Drosophila melanogaster: one gene and its partners. The protein of the gene in region 1 interacts with the protein of each later gene in a pairwise test. Each region holds a gene or a part of one and is shown in the gene's direction. Other genes may lie near its edges. The genes, in order: CG9624, Cda5 and CG12896.

Region 1 (3,344 bases):
CAAAAAAATTCTGTAAGGCTTTTATTTATGTAGAGAACCTCAAACCGCAGAACGGGTTCAAAGTGCATCTACTGGAAGTTCCTGTGGCCTTTTCTCTGCGGTGTGCCAACTCAAATGCATAGCCAAAAAAAAAAAAATAATAAAAAAAATGACTCCAGTTTTACGCTCGAGTTTTGTGTATATTTTCCGTTTGATGTTGGGGCTGCTTTTCCATTTGTCGAATGCTTAAAGCCATTTGAAAATGATTGGCTTTTATGTCAATAAGCGTCTCAGTTGTCCTTACTTGTTTCAGTTTTTCTTTTGCATGGCTTTTTCCTTGACTTTTTTTAATACAGCTGACTTCGCTTTTTCTTTCGGTTTTTGCTCTCGCGGTTTTCTCTTACAGTCTGACGCTTAAGTGCCCCAATAAAACACAATAAATATACACATAAATTTTTATACACATCCCGCATATAGAGGACAACTTTTTTTTGTGGCCAGAGAGCTGGAAAAAGTCGTCGCGTTTTGATAGATGAAACGAAATAAAAAGTAAAACAAATACGGTGTTTTTAGCTCCCGGTCACTTATGGCTTTAAATTTTCCAGCGAAAGCAAAATTAAATTTTGAAAATTAGAAGGCAACTAAGGCTAACCGGATGCGATAAATCATCGTGGTAAAATTAAAATCGTGGGTTCGAATCAAAATTTCGCACTGGCGCTGAATATTAAAACAATAAGTGTTTGAACATCGAGGCGTAAAATAGGCATTCGTCACTCGGTTTTCGGTGCACCGACATAAATCTAAATTCAAACCTTTTGTGGATTGGATTTTTGCTAGGTGCCTTCGATTTGTAAGCCCACTGATTGTGTTCAACGTGGCACGAACAATTGATTTATGAAAATTTATTGCTCACATGCGGAGGACCAAAAACCAGGCGCCCGAGCGCCCTGCGATAGGCAACACTTTGTGTTTGAAATTAAAGCTGCCACGCCGCGAGCAATAAAAGCAAAGCCATAAAAGCTAATGAGCCCGAAAACTCGTCACCGTTGTCACAGCCATTTCCCCTTCGGATCTGCCACGCCCTCCTTAAACTAATATATATGTATGTATGTTCGAACTGGGGCATAATGAAAATCGCGGCCATCTTGTTGCGCCTGCATTCCGTCATAAAATCCTGTTTCACCTCACTGTTTCAGCTCATAAAATAATGGCGATCGTCGGCTACCGTGAATATACGGCATGGAATGTCGTAAAATTTACGCAAATTGTTGTTGCCGATTCCCGATGAGAATACTTACTTACCGTTATTGCCTGTGAGTGCGCATAAATTTGGCAACAAATGCAAACAAACAAGTTTAGCTATAGAAAAATGTGGGAGGGCTTTGTTATTAGGGGGCGTGCCAGTAGCTGATTTATTTCGCTGATAGGAAGGGATGTGCTTTCACTGCTGCGAATTTTTTGAAAAAAGATAATAAGCATATATACATTTTATAAATTTTAATTCTTATTTTAAGCTACGAAACTAAAGACTCTGTAAACATGTTAATATACGTAAAAATCTGTTGAAATAATGTATATTAAGTTTTGGGCTGAAATTAAGAAATCCAAATATTTCTAGGTGTATTTTAATGTAGATGCCAGCAGATTTGTGTCACCCTATTAAGCATTTGATAGCGAGGCAACGGAAATTCTGCCATAGACACACATTTGCTAGCCAGGCCAAATTACATGAATAGAAATTCCAAGTACCCAAAATGAATACCTCCGAAGTCAAACGAACGCTGGGTAGCCCCTTCTTCGACGTGCTATGGCCATTGATCCTGGACGAGAATGTCTGTCGCATCGAGACCAAGCCGGACGAATTCTTTGTGCCCCGGCAGCCCTTCAATCGACTGGATTGGCATATCTATCTGTCCCAGGTGGGCTTTCCTTTCTACATGCCGCCACATGAGCTGCGCTGCTGCAAAGGAGCCCAAAGGGAGGAGATCGAGAACGAGGATGCTGAGAATGCCTTAAACCAGGAGGTGGAGGAGCGAACGGCGTCGAATCAGGTGGACTTTCTGCGCCATGGATCCCGGGACATTAGACCCATAGATGAGGTGGTAAACAAACTGAGGATGGAGCAGGAGCGTCGCCAGAAGTTGGCGTACGACTTTGCCAATCGGCGCTATCCTTGGACCATGCAAACTCCCAGTCACGAACTGGGCTTCACCATCACTGAGGAGCTGCAGAAGTGCTTCAAGGGACCCATGGAGCTGGACATCTTGAGGGCCATTCATGATCACGACTGCAAGCTAATGATTATCGATCTGGGCACTGATGTGGACATTAAGGACTGCCAGCGCTGGATAAAGTTTCGTCCATATATTCAGTTACTGGCATTGCCTCGAACACCTCGCATGGAACGATCGCTTCAGGTGCTCAATGTCTTCCACACGTATTTGGTGGAAGAATCGGCTGATAACTCATGGCACGATGAGGTGCAATACTCCCTTCGCACAGCTTTTGTGCACGCACAGAAAAATCAGCTCCTTAAGTCCTGCGGAGAGCCATTTGTCTTCGTATTTAGTCGTTTTCGTGGCATCTGCACCTGCGATACCTATAAGATAATCCGACGGGCATAGAACAAATTCTTTCAATTAATTTCCATCAGCAGTTATTAGCAAATGCCAACTGAAGTTGCTATAGACAAGTAATTATTTATTGCTTTTAAAAAAATTTCAAAATGTAAAAAAAATCTCAAGTTTACACAAGATTATATATATTACATGCAATAAATCGAATTTAAACATCATAACATCTGTTTTAGCCCAGTTTAATACTTATTCACGTCGCCTAATTTGATACGACTTGATTTGCTCCGCCCGGCCGTTCAAGCCATCATGTTGAAGTGGCGCCCGAACAGGAACCGCTTCAATTAGGCCGCCCAATTGGAGCTGCCTTCAAGTGCAGTCAGACGCACGCTACCTGCCACTTGCCACCCGATTATTGACGCAGGCGGAAGCCTGCACCACCATTTTCCGATGTGTTGTCAAAGTGCCTCCGCTAAGTTGGCAGACTTGAGCCCACGGCACAATTCACAACAAGTTTGTTTGCGAAAAAGAAACGAAATCGAAAAATTTCGCACCAAATCTCAACAAATTATTACAAAGCTTAACAAACTTGAAACTGATTATAAAAGTTGCCGGCAGGCAGTTGGGGCAAATTGGGGGACCGGCGGCCACAATGCAGCAAAATTGAGTTGCGGGTATCGTGAAGTTAGGAGCACTTCCCCTCATTCTCTACGGGCTTCCTTTTTGTTTTGTTGGAAAAAGTTTTTTTTGGCCAAATGCGTTGTCGCTATAAACGTCGACCCACAAACATAA
Region 2 (4,939 bases), on another chromosome or scaffold:
ATTTATTATTCAAGAGTTAAGCACAATGCTCCAATATTTCAAGTATACCATAAACTGAAGGCTCTGACCGATTCGAATTGCATGTGTAAGCAAAGTGCGGGTTTACTTGTCGGGTAACCACTTTATCGAAAACATTATAGGCGAGTTTTGAGGGCCAACAATTTGACAATCATTTTCCGTTGAGCTTTTTCTGTCTGAATCAACTTGCGATATCTTAATGCGTGCTAACTATTGACCATATTTTGACAGGTTTCATATACATAACAGAAGAAATATTTGTTTCAGGAAACGGAGTTATTACGGTTCATTAATGAGTTTGCCAAATCGCCTGTTTTACCAAACGTGGCCAAAGTGTTCTTGGTATACCGATAGAAATTTACAAGGGTTATAATAAAATAAAAAAAAATCTCAAAAACTTTTTAAAAGTGTGCGCGTGGCAGCTTTTGGGGGTTTGTGGGCATTAGAAGGAACGCCGCCAAAGTGTTCTTAGTATAACGATAGCTATGGGCGGTCTGTGGGCGTAAGAGTGGGCGTGGAAAAAATGGATTTGGCAAATGAATATAAATTTACAAGACTGATGAAAATATACAAAAAAATATGCAACAATTTTTCAAAAATGTGGGCGTAGCAGTTTCGGGTTGCTTGAGGTCGTTACAGTGGGTGTGGCAACATGGGACAACAAACTTGCGCTGCGTCCATGTCACTAGAATATGTATGCTGAATCTCAACCTTCTAGCTTTAATAGTTCCTGAGAACTCGACGTTAATACGGACGGACAAGCCTGATCGACTCTGCCAATGGTCTTGATAAAGTATTTGTATATTTTATATGGTCCGAAACGTTTAGTTCAAGATACACTTCGTTACACACTTTTTAATATAGTAACGGAAATAATTAAATAATTTCCTAAACAAAGTCAAAAATATTCAATGCAACAAAACACCTCGCCCTCCATTCACAGAAAAAATCGTGTGAAACACAATCCAGCAAAAATAAATTAATAAATAAAGAATTAGATTAATTCGCATGCCTTGCTCAAACCATCAGCCATCGCCGTTCACCAGAACCCCTTTACTTCAGCTGTTGTTTTACAGCTTTTGCTTGGCTTTGGTTGGCTGCTTTGGCCTAGTTCTTGGTCGTTGCCATGTTTTCAACTCGGTTTTACTTTCAATTCTATGGTTCGAAATTGGCCACTTTACTTTAGACTTTAGAGTAAAGCTATATGTTGGGCATATAAATCGAATTTATCAAGGGCAATTCAGCTGGGTGGTATTAATTCTAAAAGTGATTGAGTGGTCTTCCTTCGATCCCATGCTTGACATGGATTCAAGTCCAAGCCCATGTTGAAGTAGTAAGCATTCTTTAATTTAAGCACCGTAATCCACTATCGAGCGATCCAGAAACCTGCTGCTAAACGAAAATGTAACGAAAAAGGTAACAACATTTCACAATCGCCTTGGTAAATAGTTTCCCAGCCTTCGTTGGCTAGAGGGTGGATATTGTTGTAGTTTCAGAAAACAATAAACAAAGCCCGCTCCCCGCTTGTAGATAGCTTGAAACTGATGGGGAGCTTTGGATGAAATTCTCAGTAAAATGTTGAAATTCACTAAGAATATGGGTCTGGACTACATTTTTCTGATAACTTGTATAACTTGTAAAACGTAGCAAAGCTGCAATGGCGCAAGCGTTAACTTTACTCTTACTTTCAAAAGCTTAAGAGATACAAACGACTCCGCGCGGGTGCAGCAACAACTTGAACAGTCTGTTAATGTAAAGTAACAGTCGGGGCCAAGCGTGGCGCAGACCAAGCTTGGCCCAAAAGCCAGACTTCGAAACTTGGTTGGCTGGCTGCGCTTGCCCAGAGTCTCAAGACACTCGTCCGCACAGTCGCGCTGTATAGTTGTTTCGATTAGGACGTGTGGTTCGCTTAAGCGCACGGTAAGCAGAGACGCTCGAGGGTCACCCGAACTTGTCAGGCGGTCTAAACTGTTTGCAATAAGCCACAATCAATTTTTGGGCTTTCGATTGCTAATTTATTTCGTAAACGCGTCGAAATAAAGTCCACCTCTGACTGGACATTGCAACCAGCCAAAAATTTAACATTTTGTAGAAAGCAGTTTTAACTGCATTTTGCAGTTTAGTCGAAGAGCTCAAGCGTGTGTGTCGGTGGTAAGCTAACTTTGCGTTAAAAAGAAAGTTTACGCTAAATATATATACAAGCTTCGACAAACAAAATAAAAACGTGCAGGTTTTGTTTTATTTTGTTTCGCATTTTCCTCTACGCGCTACAGACTAGTTCATACAGAGTTTTCCAATATGGAGGTGCCCGCGATACCGTACGGGAAATCTAAATCAAACACCGATCTTCGATTTGATCTCTTTGCATTTTTGTCTAGCAATCTTTTCCATGGTAACTACAAAACGAACAGCGGTCATTGCAGTCTCACGTGAAAGAAACTAAAAAACCTAACTAAAAATCGCTTGCCAAAAGCAATGGAGGAAAACTAAGTGTTGTAATCTGTAAACGTGTGTGTTAGCTATGCATCGTCGCGTTGGTTAAAGCCAAACGAAAGCTCGAATAATAGGGGCAGAAACTAAATCTGCTTACAACAATACAAACATGTCCTAACCAAGTGAAGGCACAGCCACAAAGCCGCAGTCGCGGCATAAGCCAGACACACCATTAAGAAAACTGTAACACAAGGCTCAAAAAATCTAAATTGAAAAATTGCGACACTGCCTTCTTAGTTATTTAGCAATTGTTTTCAACAAAACAGAGGTTTTCTCAACGGTAACTGCCTCCGTCATCGGTACGGTGGCTGCTGCTGCTCCCCACTTCCCGCGCTTCCAACCACTATTTTTATCCGAGCTTGCCTATGGTATTTTAAATTCTGTGAACTAACCCCAAAACGAAACTGAACCAACCACATCAAGAAAATTTACAGTTACAGTTACGACGACACGCCATACCTGCAATATGAAGTATTCAACAAGTCGAATAAACATTCTGTGCCTGCTGGGATTGTGCCTACTGCTTTTTAAAACAGGTGAGTAATGCCCACTTCAGTGAAGAACACTCTGCTAGAAATACAAATGGAGGCAAAAACTTAAAAGAGCAAAGGGCTTACACACTTTACCCACTAGTCCTAGAAGAGTTAGCACTTAACCAGATTTTAAGACAACCATGGATAAGTATTCAGTTCATGTATGAACTGAAATCTTTTTTTAAACGTAGATCCGAAAAAGTTTTATTTTTAAGTGAATTGTTTTTACAGTACTATGGATTCTTCTTTTCCTCAATCATATTCGAAACTTCGTGATAGAAATATTATGTTCCGCAAATAAAGCCAAACTTGTTTTGAACACTGTTCCGGCTGCCATGTACGAGCTCGCAATAGTCTAATGTCAAATTCAATCACCGTAGAAGAAGTCAAACCACCAGCTGTTAACCACTTGTGTTGAGCTCTATTGTGGATACTCCGGCTCCGGCTAAACGAGTTTCTTAATATGTCCAAAAATGTATATTTATTTTAATATATATATATATATATATATATTAAGACATTTTACTGCGAAATGTGTTAGGATATATAAAAAGTAAGAGTATTTACATTAGGGTATGTATGGAGGTAAATACATGGTCTGATCAACTGCTCTATTTACCAGCGAACAATAACATAATCAAGCATTTCGACCATAACAAGCCTTACCGTGTCCAACTATTGGTCACTTGGGCTGTCTACTCACCATACTGCTGGGTAATGGTAATGGAATTATGTAAGTTATCAGCCAGCAGCCAACCAAGCAGCTTATGACACAGATATTAATTGCATACAGCTCGCTGACTCGATTGAATAGGTTCACTAAGTGAGTGAGTGTATCGGTGTAACCGAGCAAATTGTGGCTATAATAACTGTTGATAATTTTTAAAACAGTTTGCTTAATTGTTCAGACATTTTTTATGAATGATATATATGCAAAATTTGAGAAAACAAATTGGGAACTACGAAAATTGCTTAGATAACGTGGTAAGGATTAACACTATTAAAATTATAATAACAGCATTAGACGGCTAAATTGTTTTGAGATAGATTTTTTGTATTACCTTTGTGGCCTTATAAAGTGCATATATGTATCTTATTCATAACATATTAGTAAAAACAGCGAACTTGAAATAGCCAAGCCCGGCTGTCCGATCGTCCTCTTTTAAACAATTTATAATCTATCTGCTATACCGATTCGGTCGTTGATACTTAGCAAGAAATATATATACCATATATGGGCACAATTGTGTCCTTCACAGCTTTGAAATTTCTGACTTAAGTGAATGTACCCTCCGCAAGGGTATGAAGACTTGCATGACTTGGTTTAGGCATAGTGGCAACACTTTCCATTTTGATGAACTTTCTCAGTGTTTTGAGTGGTGTTTTTTTAAGCCACAGAAATATATATTTGGGTAAAACCTTAGATATGCCGCCATGGAAATATTTTCATGCGTAATTGCTAGGAAATTTGTGTTAAAACATTTGATGTACTACTGGTTTAATGCGAATGTCGATGGCTGAAAGAAAAAGGTTTGAGGCGGACGAGGCCAATGGCGAAAGTTGAACATTTGCAAGAACATTTGTTTAAGCGCGTGTTTAATGAATAGTATAACAAAGGGGTTTTAATCATAATTCAGTTTCAATGCCAGTTAAACCATTAGTATGGTGGTCACGCCTCGACCTAATCATTTCGTCTCTTTTTTACCGCAGGCAGTGTCAATGCTTACCGTGCGAAAGTTTTGGCGCACGCGGAAGATCGTCATTAAATTACTTCGCTAGGTCTTTGACTGTAACCTGAACACTTTATACGAGCATGTACGACCATTGGCATGGCGCAACTTTGTTTTGCATGCACACAGTGCACTTTCGCTTTCAAGCAGTATTCCAGCGAGTCT
Region 3 (3,430 bases), on another chromosome or scaffold:
ATTCGATGATATCGATATCTATTCCGACACCTGACAACATCAGAGTGCGCTCGGCAGCTATCGATTATTCTTATCGAATAAATCTCTTTAGGCGCCTAAATTCAAAATTTGATAAGCAGTAACACACTTCCCAAAGTGCCATTAAAATCTTAAAATGTTTTTAGGTAAAACCCTTGACAATACTTTTGGAGGGTATTATTGCACTATTGCTAGCAATCTTATTTTTTGGGTAAAATTAAACCTTACGTAATTCGTTATGTTTTTTAATGCTAATTTAATCTTTTAAATATTGGTTTAAATTATAAAAAAAGATCATATTATCTATTTTTAGCGCATACTTTACGCCATACCGATAAGAATATTAAGGGCAATTATTACTTAGAAACTTCTGCCTATGGTATAAAAGTATGACGAATGTCAAACATACGCGTTTTACATTGAAACCAGATTTAAAAATGCATCAGCGCAAAAAACTTTAGTGATTTCTAGTACTCTGCCCAGAATGTAATTAAGAGATCGCTGCACTGGTAAAAAAAACCGCCATAAATTCAAAAGATTCGATTCGATTGACAGACTATCGATGCTGCAGAATTTACCGGTTCGCTCTACGGCTTCTCTCAAATGCTTTGACACTTTCTATCTCACTCTTCTAATCGTTCTTGTTCGTTTCGCCTCAACCTTCACTCTGTATTTTAGTTACTTCCTTTCCGAATAGAAATCCTATCACGTAACTGATAATAAACAGTGGAAAATTACCACACGTCTGGTGTAGAGACGAATGTTGCTGGATTCTTGATTAGACTTTATACACTAGCACAAAAACTGTACTTGTAACTTATGAAACACGATCGAGCTACTGGGAGGGAACTCTTCTAATTAAACTTATCAATTGTTGCATTTTTGGTATCCATTATGACTAGATATTGAATTTTAACCATATGATTCCTATTTGGGCTGCTTTCATGCGTACTGTCTTTTGCCTTCTGAATGAGCGATCTGCCCATCCGACTTCCCAAATCCATTCCATCTTTATGTGTGACTTACTGAGAGAAAACCTATGCTGGTGTGCTAATTTTCGATAGACCCACGCACACAGTCTCACGATTTCACTCGCTCTTCACTTTCAATTAGAGGCTCGTTTTCTGTACGTGAACGGGAGAGCCGTGCGATCTATGGAAGTGTGCGATTTTTGCAGGCACTCACAAATACCATCACGTTGCTCGCCGCTCTCTCGCTCTCAATATCCGCCTATCGGCGTGGCTGTATGTTTGCAGGTGTTGGTGCTTCGCCTCTGTTTACCAACACCATTTAACATTTAAATGCGCTCTCGCTCTCTGTTTATGTTTGGAGCCGGCAAAACCGTCAACTGCATCAAATCAGCTGTTTTGATACTAGATCCTGAAGGAATTGGTTCTGGACTGATTGATTTATTCGAACAAGTTTAAATTAAAAGAAATATGCGAAACTGTACTTCATTTTGCGTTACATCTAAAATGTGTTCGTCACAGAGTCCATTTTTGTGTGACGCCCCAAACAGGTTTTTTTAAGGCCCCTCTTGAGGTTCACACAAATATGGAGACCCCGTACGAGGCCTCATCTTTCCCCTCACAATGTCCCCAATTATCACTGAGTTGTTTGTTAGTCTACCCGCAGCACCACGTACTATACATACAAACATACATATGTACATATATGATACGATAAGCCAGCTCCCGTTCTCTGTCTCTATCGGTCCCCTTTCATCAAATTGATCCAGTCGGGTATAAAAGACAGCGAGCTCTCCCAGTCAGTATTCAGTAAGCAACAAGTGTGCGAGCTAATAACAGCTACCAGCTGAGCAACTAACAAGTTTTTTTCCAAGTGAAACTAAAAATCAAACAGCAAGATGCGTTTGGGACAGACCGTACCTAACTTCGAGGCCGACACAACCAAGGGGCCCATTAAATTCCACGAGTGGCAGGGCAACTCGTAAGTGCCATCAAACCCTTTTTCTCTGATCGAATCTTACCAATTCTCCTTCGGATCGCCAGCTGGGTGGTGCTCTTCTCTCACCCCGCCGACTTCACTCCCGTCTGCACCACTGAGCTGGGCAGGATTGCGGTGCACCAGCCGGAGTTTGCCAAGCGGAACACCAAGTGCCTGGCGCATTCCGTTGACGCATTGAACTCGCACGTGGACTGGGTGAACGACATCAAGAGCTATTGCCTGGACATTCCCGGGGACTTCCCCTACCCGATCATCGCCGACCCTACTCGCGACCTGGCCGTCACCCTGGGCATGCTCGACGAGGAGCAGAAGAAGGATCCCGAGGTGGGTAAGACCATCCGCGCCCTGTTCATCATCAGTCCGGACCATAAGGTGCGCCTCTCCATGTTTTACCCCATGTCCACTGGTCGCAACGTTGAGTAAGTACCTCTTTCTGGCTACAACTATTGTTAATCTCAACTGACGATCCTGTAATCTTACAGCGAGATTCTGAGGACCATTGACTCCCTGCAGCTGACTGATCGCCTCAAGGTGGTGGCCACTCCCGCCAACTGGACCGTAAGTTTTTCTACCCACTTAATGCGAACTGTTCCGAACTAATTAATTCTGTTTCATAAACAGCCTGGCACTAAGGTCATGATCCTGCCCAGTGTCACCGATGACGAGGCTCATAAACTCTTCCCCAAGGGATTTGATAAAGTATCCATGCCATCTGGAGTAAACTACGTTCGCACCACTGAGAACTATTAAAGACCTACATACCTGCATGTATTTTTCTTCCTGTTGTGCCATAAAAAGTTAATTACTGCAAAATAAAAATTTTATATTCTGAAACTATTAATTAAAAACTTTCTTATTTTAATAAAAATTATTTTGTCAGCTTCGCTTTCACAAAATATTACAAAACTGCGAATGAATATTTTTACAAAATATAATAAAATGAAAAAATTGTCTCGCAATATCGAAAGAAAGTCGCATAGCAGCGTTCATTCGCACAGACATAAACCGCCAAATCGACTCGTCTAGCAATCGTGATCGAGAATATATATACTATATAGGGTAGAAAACGCTTCCTTCTTTCTACTTGTTACATATGTAAATTGCTCTACTGGTAATATAATGCAATGCATTTTTAGTCTTGAAATAATGCTATAGTCGAACACCCCGACTATCAGATACCGAACGCGAAATTTCATCATTTTTCTGAGATATCGATATTGGGGCATAACATGAGAATAAATTTTAAAATTGTTTAATAGTGTGGGTGTGACCGGTTTGGTGGCTTTAGGGCGTTAGAGTGGGCTGGGCAATTAGTTTTTTGCAAATCGACAGAAACTTACAAGACTAATATAAATATATACTAAATTTCAACACATTTTTCAAAAGTATATAAGTGTGGGCGTGGCAGGTTTGTGCAAGCCACTGGCACTCTAAGTGCACCCGC

Evidence for each region.
Region 2: the proteins of CG9624 (region 1) and Cda5 interact in a two-hybrid assay, tested with the Drosophila melanogaster proteins (one large-scale study listed by BioGRID).
Region 3: the proteins of CG9624 (region 1) and CG12896 interact in a two-hybrid assay, tested with the Drosophila melanogaster proteins (one large-scale study listed by BioGRID).

Annotation. Positions count from the first base shown.
Region 1 is NT_033777.3:14,227,459-14,230,802, reverse strand, and holds CG9624 (uncharacterized protein), read left to right. Parts: upstream 1-1,657; 5' UTR 1,658-1,733; coding exon 1,734-2,603; 3' UTR 2,604-2,785; downstream 2,786-3,344.
Region 2 is NT_033779.5:56,189-61,127, reverse strand, and holds the start of Cda5 (chitin deacetylase-like 5), read left to right. Parts: upstream 1-1,859; 5' UTR 1,860-1,938; exon of another isoform or gene 1,939-2,169; intron 2,170-2,396; exon of another isoform or gene 2,397-2,879; intron 2,880-2,934; exon of another isoform or gene 2,935-2,945; 5' UTR 2,946-2,977; coding exon 2,978-3,047; intron 3,048-4,939.
Region 3 is NT_033778.4:10,426,275-10,429,704, reverse strand, and holds CG12896 (uncharacterized protein), read left to right. Parts: upstream 1-1,789; 5' UTR 1,790-1,885; coding exon 1,886-1,968; intron 1,969-2,030; coding exon 2,031-2,405; intron 2,406-2,468; coding exon 2,469-2,544; intron 2,545-2,607; coding exon 2,608-2,736; 3' UTR 2,737-2,825; downstream 2,826-3,430.